Linked DNA regions of Schizosaccharomyces pombe. The protein of the gene in region 1 interacts with the protein of each later gene in a pairwise test. Each region holds a gene or a part of one and is shown in the gene's direction. Other genes may lie near its edges.

Region 1 (6,629 bases):
CCACGTTAAAAGGCCCATTCCAATTACCAAAACCCCGTCCAGCAGCATAACAATCCGTTGAACAACACCAGTTTCTTTTAGATTTCAACGTTTAGCTCGTCGAATCACTATGTTGCATCAGTTACTCACTATTTATTTATTTGGATTTGGCGCTAATGGGAAGATAATTGACACGTTTAAACTAATATTTTAATGACTCGTGAATAAATAATATGTGCTACAATTCAACTTGAGTCGATTTTATTATAATAGGATTGATGCTCGTATAACAAATTTGTAAATTCAATAGTTTGGCTTTTAATGAGAACAAGTTGGTTAATATAAATCTTCAGCCTGGCAAATCATTTTTCCGAAATGTGACCTTGTTGTTCCAATCGCTAAAGATATTTTGGTCTCATTGTTGTTATAATGTTCGCATCATGGAAGAGTACTAGGTAGTTATAAAAAAAAAAAAAAAAAAAAAAAACTTATCAATCTAATTCGTATTATTGAAACACAGATGAATTAAGAAAAAAAAAAACTAATGCTAATTCACGCTCATAATTGGCAAACATTTGGTATTTACGATCTCATGTATTTTCTTAACTACCTATTGCTGTACCATAGTTGGTTTTCTTCATCGGGTAATGTTAATCTCATCAGTAAACAAATACTGTTATTATACGTTATTTGCTTTAAGAAGTGAAATGAGAAAAATGGGTGAACTAGGTATGAATAGTGAATCCCCTATTGTTACAGGAGGATATGGATTTCAATAAAAGGTAAGACCTTTGACAAAGCCGACTAACCTTGGGGTGATCTGATTGAGATTAAGTACAATCATCCTGATAAAGCAATAATCGCATCACGAACAACGAACAATTCCACCTTTAGGGGTGGATAATTTGGTTTTGTGAGACTTGCATTGGCATAGGTTTTGATGCTTTTTGTGCCTTTCTCATAAATCTGGAGTATAGTTTTCTTACCGAGCGAAGAAACATGATGCTTTTGATCCAGTGACAGTTTCCCAGAGATCGACAATAGGCCACGGATCTTCGCTATGGTTATCAAGCTACTAGGGTACTAGGGTAGGTGTAGCGTTCAAAGCTAACAGTTGTATTCAAGCTTAAGTTTATATTTTGTTAATATAAAAGAGTGACAAGTTTGCATATGAATGAAGATTTTCGCTAGTGCAGAGTGAATGAACGATTTGAAATAAAAAAAAAATGCAGGAAGCATCTTCGTATGCGTAAGCCATGTAAAGATCAACCAAATCGCTGTAACAATGGAGAGACATGTGGCTCCTGAACATGACAGATATTCGAAGCCACGTGGTTATTAACCAACTTGATCAACCTAAATGAGAATGCAAACTATATTTAGGTACATGCAAAGAATTTTTTTTATAAATTGTCTGAAAGAAAAAGAAAAAAAACAGAAAAAAACGAAAAGCAAGGAATGCTATTTATGAAACACATGAGGGCATAATCTAAGTATCAAAAAATTAACGAAACATCTGTGTTTTTTTTTTATTTTTAAAAGAACATTAGAGGTTAAACAAGTTAATCGTTCTTATACTGTTTTTGCTTGGCTCGTGATTTTCTCAATTCTTTGGATTTTTGTACTAATGCGTATCAAGCAAGCTACTTTACTAACGTCTAAATAAAAAGCTCTTAGTATTGTTGTTGCCTTTGGGCTTATCAAATTTGCCGCCTTATCACTCGCTAATGTCGAGGTTCCTACTTGAAAGTTGTTCCAACATTTTTTCTAAGTCCTTTATTCACCCAAATTTGCATTTGTAAATTGGGTGAGCTTGTCGCTTTTGCTAGTTTTGTTTTCAAGTCACTTCCTATAAACCTATTGATTGTGCAAGAGTTGCTAGCAAATTGCTAGACGACCATTGATTTTCACCTTCTTTTGTTTTTTTAGGGCTTTTTCTTTTGTTATTACGAACAGTTTGGCCGTCCGGTTATTCTGAAATAATTTATTGTATTCATATATATATAATTATAGAGTTAGTAACGCTACCTTTTTTAAAAAAAAGACTACAAAGAGTTTCTTGGCCTTTACGAAAAAGGTGCTTAGTTTCCTTGTTAAATTGGAGCTTAAATTTTGTATAAATCGGCTTCCAATTTCATGTTCTGTGCTTGCGTTTTTTCTTTGCGCGCTTTTCTCAAGCAGCGTAGCGTTTTCAAATCGGGCTTTCTTTACTTTTGATTTGTTTAGTTCCTATTATCTTGTTATTCTTTTTTTTTCTATCTATTGTTTCCCTTGCAGTTATGAACCCGTATGTTTCTTATCCCGAAATTCATATGAAACGGAATAGAACGGGTAGTATTAATTCAAATCCGCTATATATTCCCAACCCAAACGTCGAGCCTACGCCCAAGCCCACAAAAAGAAGAACGAAAACTGGATGTTTAACATGTCGCCGTCGCAGGATCAAGTGCGACGAAACCAAACCTTTTTGTTTGAACTGCACAAAGACAAATAGGGAATGTGAAGGTTATCCAAATTCAGCTGCTCAAATGCAAGCCATGGGGAGTGTATCGCCTCCTGAGCTAAGCGTTCATTCTGCTCAACAGCCATTGATACCTACTTCAATTGCTTCAAGTAGCGCTCAAACCGGAGACACTTTTTCCGGCTCTTCACAATCCAATTTTAATACAAATGATCTTAATCAGATGACCTCCTCCTCCAATTTATCCACCGTTACCCCAATCAAACAGGATCATCAAAAACCTATGAATTTACAAGGATTTCCAAGTGCTTATCAACAGCATCAATACCTTCAATCCAATCATAACGTTCCTACAAATAATTCTTCTAGCGCTACTTCGTCTACAAAACCCTCTGTACAATCGGTGGGTCAGGCCTCTTACCCTTTTCTTTCATCAGTTTCCAATTTCCCTTCAAACTTTAATTCCGAACTGTTTCCGTTTTATTTTCACGATGTCGTACCTTCTATTTGTGCATTTGAATTTGATAATAACATAGCCTTGCATTTTTGGTCAGTCACTGTTCCCCAGTTTGCTCAATCGATGCCTTGTATTGCTAATTCTTTAATGGCTTTTGCGTCTATTAAGAAGCTCGACGTTTTTGGTGCTTACAGTCATTTGACCAGAGCTCTTCGCTGTCCAATGCCTGGTCCCAATTCTTTTGAATACCTGTTGGTTTCTGCATTTTTGACTCTCACTCAGCTCAATCTCCCAGCCTATGATCTCAATTTTTGTAATAATTTTATTAGAAAGTTAAGTTGGTCTTCGTCTACCAAATCAAATTATGTCAGCTTATTGATTGCTATGGTCGTTCGTGAACTAGTTTTTGCAATTCTTCCTCGTGGGTGTATCTGGGGGTTTAATGGAAAGCCTTTATCGGAAGTTTCTGTTTCTCGAAGTCATGCACCTGTTTCGGATTCTTTGTTTACTATTGGATTGGACATTCTCTCTCAACCAACCTTGTCTGATGATTTGCATCGAGAACGAATGGTTGCTTGGCGAGATGAATATCATGTGCACTTGTATTCAGCATCAAGAAGTCCTCTTACTAAAGTTATAGATTGTGTAGGACATGCCGTTACCAAAAACAATAATGACGTTCTTTCTGGCTTACAGCAATTAATGCAAGAAGAATGCACAGATATTGCAGTATTACGCACTTCCTATTTATGCGTATTATCTCTACAAAATGTTTTTGCATCAAACTCTAAAGAATTTAAACTTCGGGCACAAATCGAATCTCATTTCGGAAGATTGATGCTAGAACATTTTATGGATTGCAATGTCTTAAATCGACCAGTACTTTAATTTTAAAATCATTTTGATGCTTTTCAATAAATATTGATATAGAACTGTATAATAGCTAGACAAAATCACGCATCAAACATATAATCTCTCGTTAATAAGATAAACACTTCATTTGTAAGATTCGCATAGTGTAAAAAGAGCCGAAATTTACGAATTACGGTACGACAGTCATACAAATGGTTTAGTCTTTGTTCTAAACATACTATATATTACCTTAGGAAGAAGACTATTGAGCGGTGGCTGTATGGAGATGTGGTTCAGAAGGGTACACAGGTGCGGGACTTCCCATTCTAGTTGCGAGGGAAGACTGTTCTTTTAAGCTGCTCAATTGCTTAAAGCGGAATTTCTCGTAATGATAGTATGAGGTCGTTTCAATTAAATCTTGAAGATGAGTTCGCATCAAAAAGTTACGAAGAAAAACAAACTCGCAGTGGTTTTCATCATCCACATTGACAACCCCCCATCTGTTTTGACGACCACGAATAGGCCTTCCATCTACGATAATGGCTTTTTCGGAACCGACCACGGCAAAAGGAATAAGATTTCGGACGGCAGCATTTAGATTAATTTCCTCCTCATCGGCGTCATCAGAATCATAAGGATACAAATTGATGTCGTGTTTAACAAATTCTTCACGGATTTGCTGCTTAAATGCTGCTCTTTCTTCAAGAGTCAATGAATCAGACTTAGCGATAACAGGCACAACATTTACGACTTCTGTTAAGCGTTTGAGGACAGCAATATCAATAGGGCGCAAAGAATGTCCAGTTGGGCGAATAAAGAATAAACAACAATGTACTCTTGTGTCTTGTAGACGTTTCTCGCGATGTGAATTTAATTCACGACGAAGATAGGAAGAGTGTTGGTCCCTAATGTACTTAATTATAGGCTCCCAGCTATTATAGTTAGAAATTGCTGTGCAGGAATAGAAATTTCCATTTCCACTGATCAAACTTACCATTTATCGTTATTAATTTGATCTCCATATCCAGGAGTGTCGATTAAATTTAATTGTAATTGAACACGGTTCTCGCGAACGACTATGTGGTTAGCAATGTAACCATAATAAATATAAGGATTGCTGACTCATTGAAGCCAGCTCAATGAGTTCAATCAAAGATGAAAACCTAACTATAAAAAAATCAACATACCTTGGCTTGTAACATGGATTTCAGTTGTCTGGCGATAAGGAGCTTGGTAATCCAGACGACCCTTACTGTCCATCAAGTGCGCAGAGAATAAAGTATTAATCAAAGTGCTTTTTCCGCTACCTGACGGTCCTATTTGAAACTGTTAACATCATTATAATTGAAAATCTGTAATAAAAATAATACGTACCAACCACCATTACATTAAATTGAAAACCACGACGAATTAACTTGCGGTTAATTTGCGAAGTGATAGAATCGAACCCTATAAACATTAGTTTTGACTCTTTATCAACATTCTTTTGTTTTCATACCCACATAATTATTTAGGGTAACTGCAGAAGGAACTTCCATTGCAAGTTGCGAATTGAATGAATTTGGAATTTGTTGGTTTTGGCCAAGTCAACATTGTAACGTGAAGCAAGTCAAAACAAACAAAAAGGTCTCGGCAATATTTACGATTTTTTTTTTAAATAATCTAACAGAGAGAAAACAAAATTTAACAATATATTTTATTAATAGAAAAGTGTTTCGATGTTGTATAAGGGCCCGAAAATATATTAAATTAGCAATGTAACCTAAAACTCGAATACGATAAACAAGTAGATTACCAGCAACTGAATGCACTATTGAAGATTAAACTGTTTCTTATAATTACAATCATGGTATATTTTTGCACATTGTATTTCAACAAACCAATATGCTGTATCAAGAAAACCAAAACAACTTTTATAATTAAGTAGATCCTTTTATTTTAATGCTACGAGGTATAACTAGTGAGAGTGAAGAAGAATGCTCCATTTTTTATAAACAAATACATGCAACCGCTTCACAGAGATCAAAGTCCTTAAAAATTTTCAACCAGATTCACAAATAATTAGCGCTAAATTTAAGCGATTATTACCAATCAGTAGCTTAAGAAGCATAAGCGTTTCGTACACCGGCAAGCTTAGACAAGAAAGCAGAACTTTGTTCATCTATTTGAGTAGACTTCATAATTTGAGAGCTAATCAATAGAGAGTCAAGAAGTCGAGGCTCCGCAGGGAGCTTGAAGATTCGCTTCCAATCGTCTAAAGGTAAAGGTTGTAAATTTTCGGCAGCACGATTTGCATTTTCGGCCTTACGCTTAGCAATCCACTGTTGAATTTTAGCTTGCTCTCTTGCGAGTTGACGTTGATGAAATCCAAGATTTCCTTGCTCATAATGAAACTCATCAGTAGACTCCAATAATAACTCAATATTCTTTCTATATCTGGTACCCAAACTAACCTCAAAGTTACTGAACGTTTCAGTCAAGGGTAAGTTGCTTTCACAATCTTCAAGAGCAGCTTCGGCGGTTAGGGTAGAAGCTGGAGTAGGAGGCTCACTAAGAGAGTGGAGCAAACAGGTAGCCAAATGAGAGTTGTGAATAACAATAGGAAGTTCACGGATAACATTGGAAGGAGTCAAGTTGTGGCTATTGAGGGAGGAGGCGGTCCAAGTTTTTTCCTCATGGGCAGCCATAAACTCTGGAGTTAACTGATAAGCACGCATGTACAAAGTTCCATTAGAAGATTGAGACAAATCATAAAGAAAAGCGATACTGTTGGGGTTTGCCTTTTGATAAGCATATTGCGTTTCTACAAAAAAGGGGCTACTTAAGAATGAACTAACATAGGCTCCCAAATACCAACCAACGTGACCAGTAACAGCACCA
Region 2 (5,527 bases), 890 kb from region 1:
AGGATATATAAAGATTAATCGTTAACTTTATGGAAATTTATTATTAATCGTCAAACATTTCAATCCCACACGTTAAGACTCCTCGCCGCTTTTCCATAATCATCCAATATAGTGAATAACTGTGTTGTGCACTAGGCTTGTTTTTGTTTAACAAATTATGCCAAAATTCTTTCTCGTAGCGTCCCACTGCAAACTACTTACGCTGATTTATAGTACTATTGAAAGTAAGTATATTGTGTTTTGTATATCTTTCACACCTTGTTTAAACAGCAACATTGATGATTCGTTTCAAGTAAAAAACAAATGGCATAAGTATATAATTACCTTAATAGCATAGACATGACAATTCAATACTAAGCAATTTTCTTTCACCTGTGACAATCCTAGATTCAATTACTGTGGACTTACCAACGGTTTCTCCTTGTCACTATTTAACATATTGGAGTTTTACCAATCACTATAGTTGTTTACAAATTATCGTTCAAATTAGCGATACTTATAGCAAATTACGTTTTTTGGAGGTGATATTAGTAACTGACTATATAACAATCCTCCAGCGTCTTGTTCACTGCCAAATAATCGCTAACAGCGAAATTTAGATAAAAGGATATCTGGAATTGCTCTTTTGTTCTAATATAAGGATTTTTGTAGCATCGGCGTATTCTCAGCTAATTTTGTTGAAATTCCTTTAGATTGCAATCCTTACTACTAGTTTTTGCTTTCTGCTATGTCAATTCCTCATATTAATAAGCTATCCCAAGATGGGCGAGTTCGTTTTTCAAATTGGGCTAAAACTTTCTCTGCCATTTCACTTGGTTTACGATGCCCCAAAACAGAAGAACAATTAAGAGAGGTAATGCTTTTGCCCTTTTGGACGTAGCGTAAGAAAACTGGGTTTAAGAAGACTTGTAAATTTGTTTAAAGTTAGCTTTACATCTGTCCTTAGTTTCTAGTAGTTCATGATGCTGCTTTGGCTATCAATCCTTTTCCCCCTTTTTTTTACATTTCTATAGAAATTAATTAGTTCGCTTGCTTCTAACATTATTATTTTTAGATTCTAGTAGATGCAAATTCGAATGGAAAAAAAATTCGAGTTGTCGGTGCTGGCCACTCGCCATCAGACATTGTCTGCACTTCTGGCTACCTTTTGTCATTAGATAAAATGAATAAGGTTGTCTCATTTGACCCTGATTCCCTTAGTATTACCGTTCAAGCCGGTATCAGATTTTACCAAGTACAAGAAATCCTTCAGAATTTGGGATATTCTCTTCCCATCGTTGGTAGCATCTCTGAAACTTCTGTAAGCGGAATCATGTCCACTTGTACCCATGGTTCTAGCTTGCAACATCAAGTGCTTCCTCATTATATCAAGTCAATGCGTATTATGCTCGCCGATGGATCTATTGTAACCTGTTCTCGAGAGCTACAGAAAGACATGTTTGCTGCTGCTCAAGTTAGTTTGGGAGCATTGGGTGTAATTGTTGATATTACTATCTCTGTTGTACCAGCTTTTGATTTGGTCGCCACGGAAGATGTTACTACTGTCACTGATTTATTTCAAGATTGGAAAAACAACCTGATTTGGGAATCTGCTGAATTTGTGCGTGTTCATGTATTCCCATATGCTAATCGAGCTGTTGTTTGGAGAGCCAACAAAGTAGAACCCAATACTGTTCCTCACACACCTAAGCCATCACTCTTTCGCTTGAAGCTAGATTCCTTTGTCTATCAATGTTTACTTTTTGTGGGTAAATGTGTAAATAGAGTTACGCCGTATTTGGAGCGTTTTTGGTTCAAATGTCATTATGGTTCTAAGCTTGGCACGGCTTTGCAGGTGGCTGGCCCTGGTTTTGATGTTTTGCAAATGTTCTGCTATTTTTCACAACATGTTAGTGAATGGGGTATTCCTCTTGAATCTGCCCCCGATGCCCTTGAGAAACTGATAAATTATACTGTTGATGATGCTGGAAAGATAGGCGCATATACTCATTGGCCTATTGAGGTTCGCGTTTGTGCTCCCACTCCAGAGGATGAATGTTGGCTTTCTACTGATTGTAAAGTACCCACCTGTTATATCGAAGCAATCATGTACCGCCCTTTCTCTACTTCAATTAACTATAAACCCTACTTCAAAGCCTTAGAGGATATCGCAAATCAGTATAACGGAAAACCTCATTGGGCTAAGGAATACAGTTTAACTAAAGAGCAGTTACTTGAACGCTATCCAAACCTTTCAAAATGGCTTTCCCTTCGTAAACTTCTTGATCCAAAAGGCGTTTTTTGGAACGATTACCTACAACGCCATCTCGGTTAAATCGAAACTATAACCCAACTTTAGTAATCATTATCCCTACTCAATTTATTCTTGTTATTTTGTCATACTTGATACACACATATTGGAACTGACTTTTAATTAAATTAGGAGACAATTTTTTTATATTAGTGTAGCTCCCTATTTTTAAAACATTACTTTTTACTTAATGTTCTGGGTATGGTATTTTAGATTAGGTATATTTGCAATTTCTTCTTGAATGCTATAACAAAGAAAAACTTAGGATCGTAACTAATAAATAAACATTTCCTCACTTTTGATCAGCTTCAACGACTTTTAGTACGTAAGATTACAATTTCTAAACATCCTCTTATTCGACTCCCTGAATTTCTTTCTTGTACTGTATCTCAAAGCTGTTTTAAAATAAAACAATTTGTTAACGCTAACTGTCTACTTTTCATAAAAAACAATTTTTATTATAAATACAATCACTTCTCACTCAATGTTAACAAGTTAACAACTGAGTTTCGCTAGTGAAAATTTTGCAACCTTATATCCAATTCTGGAAAATAATACTGAATAATTCTGTTTATAGTAATTTTTTTGGATGCTCTCTTATACCTCTTGTGCGAAACTAATTTGTTCAAGATATATAGTTTCCAAGATCTCATTTTATTCACTGAAAAGATGTAATTCCACTGCTGTAGTCCGGACTAGATTCGCTCCTTCTCCTACAGGGTTCTTGCATCTTGGATCTCTAAGAACAGCTTTATTTAATTACTTGTGGGCCAAGAAATCGAACGGGAAATTTATTTTGCGCCTAGAAGACACTGATCAAAAGCGAAAAGTAACGGGTTCAGACTTGGAGATTTATAAAGTACTAAAGCAGTTCAATCTTCAATGGGATGAAGGACCAATCGTCGGTGGTCCCTATGGTCCTTATGAACAGTCGAGCCGTTTACAAATTTACCAAAAGTATGCTCAGCACTTAATAGAAACTGGGAGAGCCTATGTATCTTATTCGGTCCCTATCGCTACTACCAAAATTGATTCATCTACAAAATATCATGAAATATCAATTGATGACTTGACTGATGCTCAAAGAAAGCTTTATAAATCTAAAAAATTCCCTTACGTTGTTCGATTCCGAATGAAGGAACCTTCACCATTCACTGATTTGGTGTATGGAAAAATTGCAATAAAATCAGATTCCAGAGAAATAGAGGAATCTAATAATTTTGTAATTTTAAAATCTGATGGATTTCCCACATACCATTTTGCCAATGTCGTTGACGATCATTTAATGCATATCACTCACGTTATTAGAGGAGAGGAATGGGTACCATCTACGATTAAGCATATACAACTTTATGAAGCATTTGGATGGAAACCTCCCAAATTTGCTCATCTTCCACTTTTAGTCAACCCTGACGGGTCAAAGCTCAGTAAGCGACAAAATGATGCACATGTATCTAGTCTTCTTCAAGAAGGGTTTCTTCCTGAAGCAATTCTTAATTTTATTGCCTTAATGGGCTGGTCTTCGCGTCAGAAAAGTGATTTTCTCCCGATGAAAGAACTTATCGATCTGTTTTCGATCGATAAACTAACAAAGAGCTCCTCAATTGTTGCCTTTGAAAAGCTTTACTTTTTAAACAAAAATTACCTGAGGAGAGCGATATCAGATGTTAACAGACTCGATGAGCTTATCGAACTGGTTCAGCCGAGGTTGATCCAAAAGTTTTCTCATTCTTCTAGAAGTCATGACAAAAGTTACACTAAAAAACTCTTGCTACTTTTAAAAAATAAAGTGCACACGATTAAGGAGTTTGAGAAGATAGTGTTCTATTTTTATGAGGCATCTGACCTTCAACAAATTAGAAGTTTAGTTTCCTCCCTCATCACGGTAGAAGAGCTTCCAAAAATTTTAACAACAATTTTAAACAAGTTCGAAACCATCGAATGGAATACTCATGAGATACAGATTAGTTTAAAAGAAATTGCCATGGAGCATCAGATGCCTTTGAAAAAAATACAGTCTTTACTTCGATATGGCTTATGTGGAAATCTGCCTGGAGGAGGTATTAGCGATACTATTAGTTTATTGGGGAAGGAAACAGTAAAATCCCGTTTGGAGCGTTTACTATTATCACTAAAGCATGAATTACCCAAAAGAAGTTGTATCGTATAATTCTAACTAACCAGATACAATCGTTTTTTCTTTGATACTTTTGATGCAGAGAATATAATAGCATTTTTATCAATCGTATATCTACAATGCGTTTTACGGAAAGGAACTTTATGCACAAATATAAATTCTCATTAGATTAGCTACAAAAAAAAGCAAGTAGCATCATTCAACAAATTTGTTGTAAGCAGTAAATGTTCAATAACTTTCAAAGTGAAATATAAAATCAAATTCACTGATTTTCTTTATGTAAAAGCAAATTATTAGTTTGCTTACAGTACTAGTTGACTTCCCAGGATAGTAGTCAGATAACTAGATCCTTCACTGTAATGTCTATTGAAAGCAAATGTATCTTATTAAAAACTTAGTGAGTTATTCGTTTTCGTTAAATATTGTTATAAAAATTTACGGTAAAGATTCGTATTTAAAACAACGCTATGCAACGAAGTATTGTAATGCTACTTACTGTAATGTGTCAAACTGAAAGACACTATCAATGCTGTCCCAGATGGACATTCTAAGGGCTGAACTTCTTACTACCAGGTACGACAGAATATACTTCAATGTCGGCTCAGAAAAGGGTGTTTTTAAAGGTTGTTATATTAGGAGATAGTGGCGTTGGAAAAACATGTTTAATGAATCAGGTATGTTAATGCTAGGGGAGTTGCTGATGTGGTCGACGTATCGTACAGACGAGCTTTTTTAAGCATTACCCTCGAATTCAACCATTGATGGTGTAGTGGTTATCAATTGAAGCGTTAAATTTTATACGTTCAGTATATTTTTCTTTTTGGTTTTTGTATTGAGCTGTAAAATCCAATACTGCAATTTCCCATTGATTTTATGTCGATAAGTTGTTATTTGTCGCTACAAGGTGATTGCTTTTAAAATTTATTCACTTTGTTATTAAATACTAGCTCAAATATGGTTAACGATCTTTACATCAGCTTCTCTATGAGTATTGCTTTGGCAATTTGTTAACATCGTCATTTTAGTTCGTCAATCAAAAGTTTAGTCGCGAATATAAAGCTACCATCGGTGCTGATTTTTTAACCAAGGACGTTGTGGTT
Region 3 (5,178 bases), on another chromosome or scaffold:
CTTTGTTAATTTAGCTATACTGGTGACTTTCATAACCTTTGTTTACTGAATTGCAAACATCTTCTACTAGCAGGTGGGAAAGCATGGTTCGCTAAGAATTTACTAATGGTTATCTTATTAGATCTTTATTTCATTGCCATTTAAATCGCAACCAAATCTTATCTCCATCTGTATATACAATATTACTGTATTGCTCTCATGTATCAAATCGTGTTCAAACTGCAAAAATCGCTTTCCGTTCATTTACCATTCTCAGGAAGAATTAGCAGTTCTACGAATCATATCCTTCCTTTCACCTCAAACTAATTTGATGCAACGAGTTATTCATTTTAACCTTGAAATAATTTTCTATCGAAGCTTCTCTTTATACTTTTCTAACACTATTTAGTTTATAAAAGTACTTTGTATATAGTCAAGGCGAATATTTCTGCAAAATAAACATATACTATCAAATCTTTTACCATCACCCTGCGCATCCTTAACAGTTTTACGGAATTCAAACATTTCCCTTATGAACATTAGCGGAAAAACAGCGTAATTTGAGCGGTATTATTTAGTTTTGAAGATTAACGGTTTACGCGTTTTATTTTCGTGAAGTGTGATTTTCATTTACCATTATCCTGAAGTGCAAACCCTCATTGATTTTAAGTATTTCTATATGATTTTAAACTACAATTAAGTTGCTGCTTAAAGCATATTGTTTGTCATTACATCTGTATAAAAAATTCCTGTCTATCAGGGTGTCGCAAGCAAAGCCTTTCCATGTTTGGCTGAACGGTTTGATATGAACGTAGATACTCAACTATCTCGCGATGGTAAGACAAAAGCTTTCCTGTTCTTTTCGACTTTCTTTCTTGTCTGACACAATACACTAGGGTTGTATTCATCTCTGAGGACTCGATACAAAGTGTATATTTCCATGCACGCTTTTGCTATATGGCATCGGTTTATCTCTTTTTTGGCAATTTATCTATGGCCTTGCATAATGGTTAGTCTGATTTTATAGTTTGAGTTATTGTAATATGCTAATGAACATTTTCAGGGGTCGGTTAATCTAAACTTACAAGATCGAGAAAACGAATATTTTTTTGACAGCATTCAGTACATTATTTATACATCTGAACTCCTCGTAGGAGATCACGAGCTACAGCGGTCACATCATGAAGAACAGCCTTCTTTGGTTTATCCTTCTTCATCGTTCAGTTCTACGAGCAAGTTTTGGAGATACTTCGCCTATCTGCTGAGCTTACAAATTGTAATAGATTTTGTTTTATACAAATTATCATCTGCAATGGCAAGTCTTCATTATCTAAAGTTTGTGAAGATAATAGCCTTATCTTATATTTGCTTCTCTTCGCTCATACGGATTTGTCATTGCTGGACATATTTTATTCGTATTATGGGATTATCCAGCTTAAATAAGTTTGTCAATCTATTGCATGATTTTGAAACTACATCTAATCGTGTTTACTCCCAAATTTGTGAATTGGAAGCAAATTCGGCAGCAAATCGCTCCCGGTTAATGGACTTCCTTCCTGCCAATGATCCTTTATTGTTTAATCTTACGGAACAAAATACTTTAAGTTACGAACTGTCTGGTTTGTATGAGAAGCTTTTACCTAGATACCAGCTGGTTCTGTCAAGAATATATCCGTATGCAGCTGCTTCCAACCTTAGAAACCTATTATCACTATATAGACTTCCAAATTGCTTTGGTAAATTAAATTCGTTTGACCTCCGAAAAGGTTCCTCAACAAGCTTAAAACGGAGTTCCATGTACCTAGCCCGTAAAGAAAACCAAGACTTTGATGACCAATCCACCCAAATTCTCAATCACATCAAAACTGCTTATTATGAATTAACTATAATCTCTAAGCAAGTTCTATGTTGCATACTATCGTTTCCGGTTGATTCATTTTTAGCTGAAAGGTCTTCATGGCTCATTGTTCACCGGGAGGTAGGTGACCTCTCTAATGCATTGTCTGTGTCGATGGTTCGTCTCGTTGACATCTTAAAGTTTTCAGTTGAATCGGTCAACCGTAATCAACATAACACTACTAGCAAACCTTTCCCCAGGATCATGTGCAAAGAAAATTTGCGCAGTCTTTTTAACGAGTTGCACTCTGTAATGATGGAAACTCATGAGTCTATCAGCTCATATATTCAAGAAGGAGACAATACAGCTATGCAGACATATGCTATGGATGAATATGATCAAGTTGGTTTACTGCTCAAAGATTTGCTCTCTGAATGGGACTTTAATAGAGCACTACTTCTCAACTTGCAACACATGCACCGAAAGCGTAAATAATTTTGGCTTTCAGAATTTTAAACCATATTTTGCTTTTATGATCTTTTTTATCCATTATTGTCCGTTTCTGTTATACGTCTTTCGGAACCTTGTTGGTTTTAATAGTTAGGATAGTTATTATAAACTATTTACAAATCGACATTTATCTAGGTTTAAATGTCGTTCAACTCAGCAATGATGTCTTTGTTGCTTAAAAATTTGCCTTAACCTTTCGTCCTGTATAATATTTTAGTTATACCAGTTTATCTTTACACTTATGCTTATGCTACTTATTGCAGGCGCAATTTTTTAAAAAATTAAATTAACATGAATTTACTATTATTCTATGAATTTTCCTGTTTTTATGGTCAAAACTGTTAAATTTTTTAAAGTTTTGATGGCTGTAGATTTAAAGTATAGATCGCCAATCGTGCGTTTACAAGTCATGCTACAAAAAATTTACTAAATATATAATATAAACATATTTAATTGATTTTAAAAATTTTCAGTCATTAATTCTCTCTGTATTCGAGTTTGTTTAATAACTACAGTATAACAGCGCTCCATTCTTTAACCACATGTCAGTACAGTATCCACCACAACATTCTGTTCTGCTCGTCAGCAGTGGATATGACCATACCATTAGATTTTGGGAAGCCCTAAGTGGAATATGCTCGAGAACAATACAACATGCGGACTCTCAGGTAAATCGTTTATGTATTTCACCTGATAAGAAGTTTCTAGCAGCCGCCGGAAATCCTCATGTAAGATTGTACGACATAAACACTAGTAGTCAAATGCCATTAATGACCTTTGAAGGGCACACCAATAATGTTACAGCCATCGCTTTTCATTGTGATGGTAAATGGCTTGCCACATCGAGCGAGGATGGAACAGTAAAGGTGTGGGATATGAGAGCCCCTTCAGTTCAGCGAAACTATGATCATAAATCTCCTGTTAATGACTTGTTAATTCATCCAAATCAAGGTGAACTGCTTTCATGCGACCAAAGTGGACGAGTTCGTGCATGGGATTTAGGAGAGAATTCTTGTACACACGAACTTATTCCGGAAGAAGATGTACCTATGAGCAGCATTACTGTTGGATCTGATGGTAGTATGCTTATTGCTGGGAACAACAAAGGAAACTGCTACGTTTGGCGAATGCTAAATCATCAGGGTGCTTCATTGCTTCAGCCCGTTGTCAAATTTCAAGCTCATCAGCGTTATATCACTCGCTGCGTCTTGTCTCCTGATGTCAAACACCTTGCTACATGTTCTGCCGATGCTACAGTGAATATATGGAGTACGGAGGATATGTCATTTATGCTTGAGAGACGACTTCAAGGGCATCAAAGATGGGTTTGGGATTGTGCGTTTTCTGCTGATTCTACCTACTTAGTAACCGCATCTTCTGATCATGTTGCAAGGCTTTGGGAGTTATCGAGTGGTGAAACAATCCGTCAGTATTCGGGTCATCACAAAGCTGCTGTTTGTGTTGCTCTTAATGACTACCAAATTTAAGTGTTTCAAAGCATTTTTCAAAATAAGTTTACGAGTTATGTTTTGTTGTATTTTTAGCTCAACTGATGTTGGAAAATTACTTCTATATATTCAAGTTTATTACACGCCTTTATCCTATTTTACCTTTGCTATATAGATTTTATTCACCAATCTTCTTAGGAAAACAAGAGTCTTGTCTTGTCAACATTCGTTTATATTAAGTGTGTCTGATTTCAAGACGATTTCTTAGTCACTTACAAATTTTTTATAAATTATATTCTTCCCTTGATACAGTATTTGCTAGTTTCATATCTCGGAGTTTTTATGATAAATAATAGTCTTAAGTGATGATAACTTTTGAAAATTTTCAATGCTTATTAGTGTAGTTTAACTTATTTTACAACTTTTATCTCTAAACATGATAGGATTAAGTAGGAAAAGTTACATATCCTCGTGTCCTTAAATGAAATGAAATGTATATCTTCATTAGCTTTCTGGTTAGCGAAGAAGCGAATTTGATAATGCAAAATTTGAAGAATTTAGTCTCGCTAAATCTGCTAATTAACTTACCGAGACTTACCGTAGTAAGATACGAAAAAAATTTCTAGGCCGTTCGACACAGCTGACCTTAACCACAACTCACAGCCAGCACATACTTAATCTCGCGAGGAGAAAAAACCTTCGATTTATAGCTCACTCTTTCCACTAACAATGTCTACTCAACCTCTTTTACAAACTACTCCTGGTAAAAGAATTGCTCTTCCTGTTCGTGTTGAACCTAAAGTTTTTTTCGCTAATGAACGTACTTTCCTTTCTTGGTTGAGCTTTGCAGTAGTTTTGGGTGGTTTGTCAGTTGGTTTACTTAACTTTGGTGATCGAATTGGTAAGATTAGTGCAGGACTTTTCACTATTGTTGCTATTGGTACCATGGGTTATGCTCTTGGTATTTACCACTGGAGAGCATCTGCTATTCGACGACGCGGAAGTGGTCCTTACGATGATCGATTGGGACCTACCATTCTCTGCTTTGTTTTGTTGGCAGCTATTATAACCAACTTTGTTCTTCGTATGTTATTTTGAAAGGATTAAGTCCATTTTTTGGAGATTTTTTCGCGATATTTCAGCCTTATCGTCTGAGCATAACTTCACAAATATGAAAATGAGGATTCCTTACTCTCCATTCCAAGTTTTTAAGCTTAGTGTTTGATAGGCTTAAGTTCTTTTAAACATATATTTTAGATTATCAATTTATTTAGTTTCCTCGTAACATGTAAAGTTTTTACATTATCTGACAATCTTTATTGAAGGCTGCAAAGATGAAAGGCCCTGGAAACGTTATGACACTGAATTGAAAGATTATTTTTTTAATGCCTGGAAAGTGATTTT

What was found. The genes of interacting proteins can lie anywhere in the genome.
Region 2: the proteins of moc3 (region 1) and mse1 interact in a two-hybrid assay, tested with the Schizosaccharomyces pombe proteins (2 studies listed by BioGRID).
Region 3: the proteins of moc3 (region 1) and wat1 interact in a two-hybrid assay, tested with the Schizosaccharomyces pombe proteins (2 studies listed by BioGRID).

Annotation. Positions count from the first base shown.
Region 1 is NC_003424.3:988,908-995,536, reverse strand, and holds moc3 (DNA-binding transcription factor Moc3), read left to right. Parts: upstream 1-1,748; 5' UTR 1,749-2,258; coding exon 2,259-3,785; 3' UTR 3,786-3,905; downstream 3,906-6,629. Other genes in the region: ubiquitin ligase Slp1, read left to right, coding at 1-61; mitotic and meiotic (sporulation) septin Spn2, read right to left, coding at 4,012-4,681, 4,744-4,825, 4,937-5,065, 5,124-5,198, 5,248-5,287; tif308 (translation initiation factor eIF3h (p40)), read right to left, coding at 5,849-6,629. UniProt on the Schizosaccharomyces pombe protein: Induces sexual development and ascus formation. Also involved in calcium homeostasis.
Region 2 is NC_003424.3:1,881,404-1,886,930, reverse strand, and holds mse1 (glutamyl--tRNA (Glu) ligase Mse1), read left to right. Parts: upstream 1-2,782; 5' UTR 2,783-2,879; coding exon 2,880-4,460; 3' UTR 4,461-4,631; downstream 4,632-5,527. Other genes in the region: alo1 (D-arabinono-1,4-lactone oxidase), read left to right, coding at 728-853, 1,055-2,314; GTPase Ypt71, read left to right, coding at 5,021-5,101, 5,453-5,527. UniProt on the Schizosaccharomyces pombe protein: Catalyzes the attachment of glutamate to tRNA(Glu) in a two-step reaction: glutamate is first activated by ATP to form Glu-AMP and then transferred to the acceptor end of tRNA(Glu).
Region 3 is NC_003423.3:1,660,079-1,665,256, forward strand, and holds wat1 (TORC1/2 complex WD repeat protein Wat1/Lst8), read left to right. Parts: upstream 1-2,862; 5' UTR 2,863-2,868; coding exon 2,869-3,813; 3' UTR 3,814-4,282; downstream 4,283-5,178. Other genes in the region: myosin-binding vezatin family protein Inp2, read left to right, coding at 785-815, 876-988, 1,043-2,311; vacuolar transporter chaperone (VTC) complex, GTPase regulator subunit Nrf1, read left to right, coding at 4,504-4,872. UniProt on the Schizosaccharomyces pombe protein: component of both TORC1 and TORC2, which regulate multiple cellular processes to control cell growth in response to environmental signals. Nutrient limitation and environmental stress signals cause inactivation of TORC1.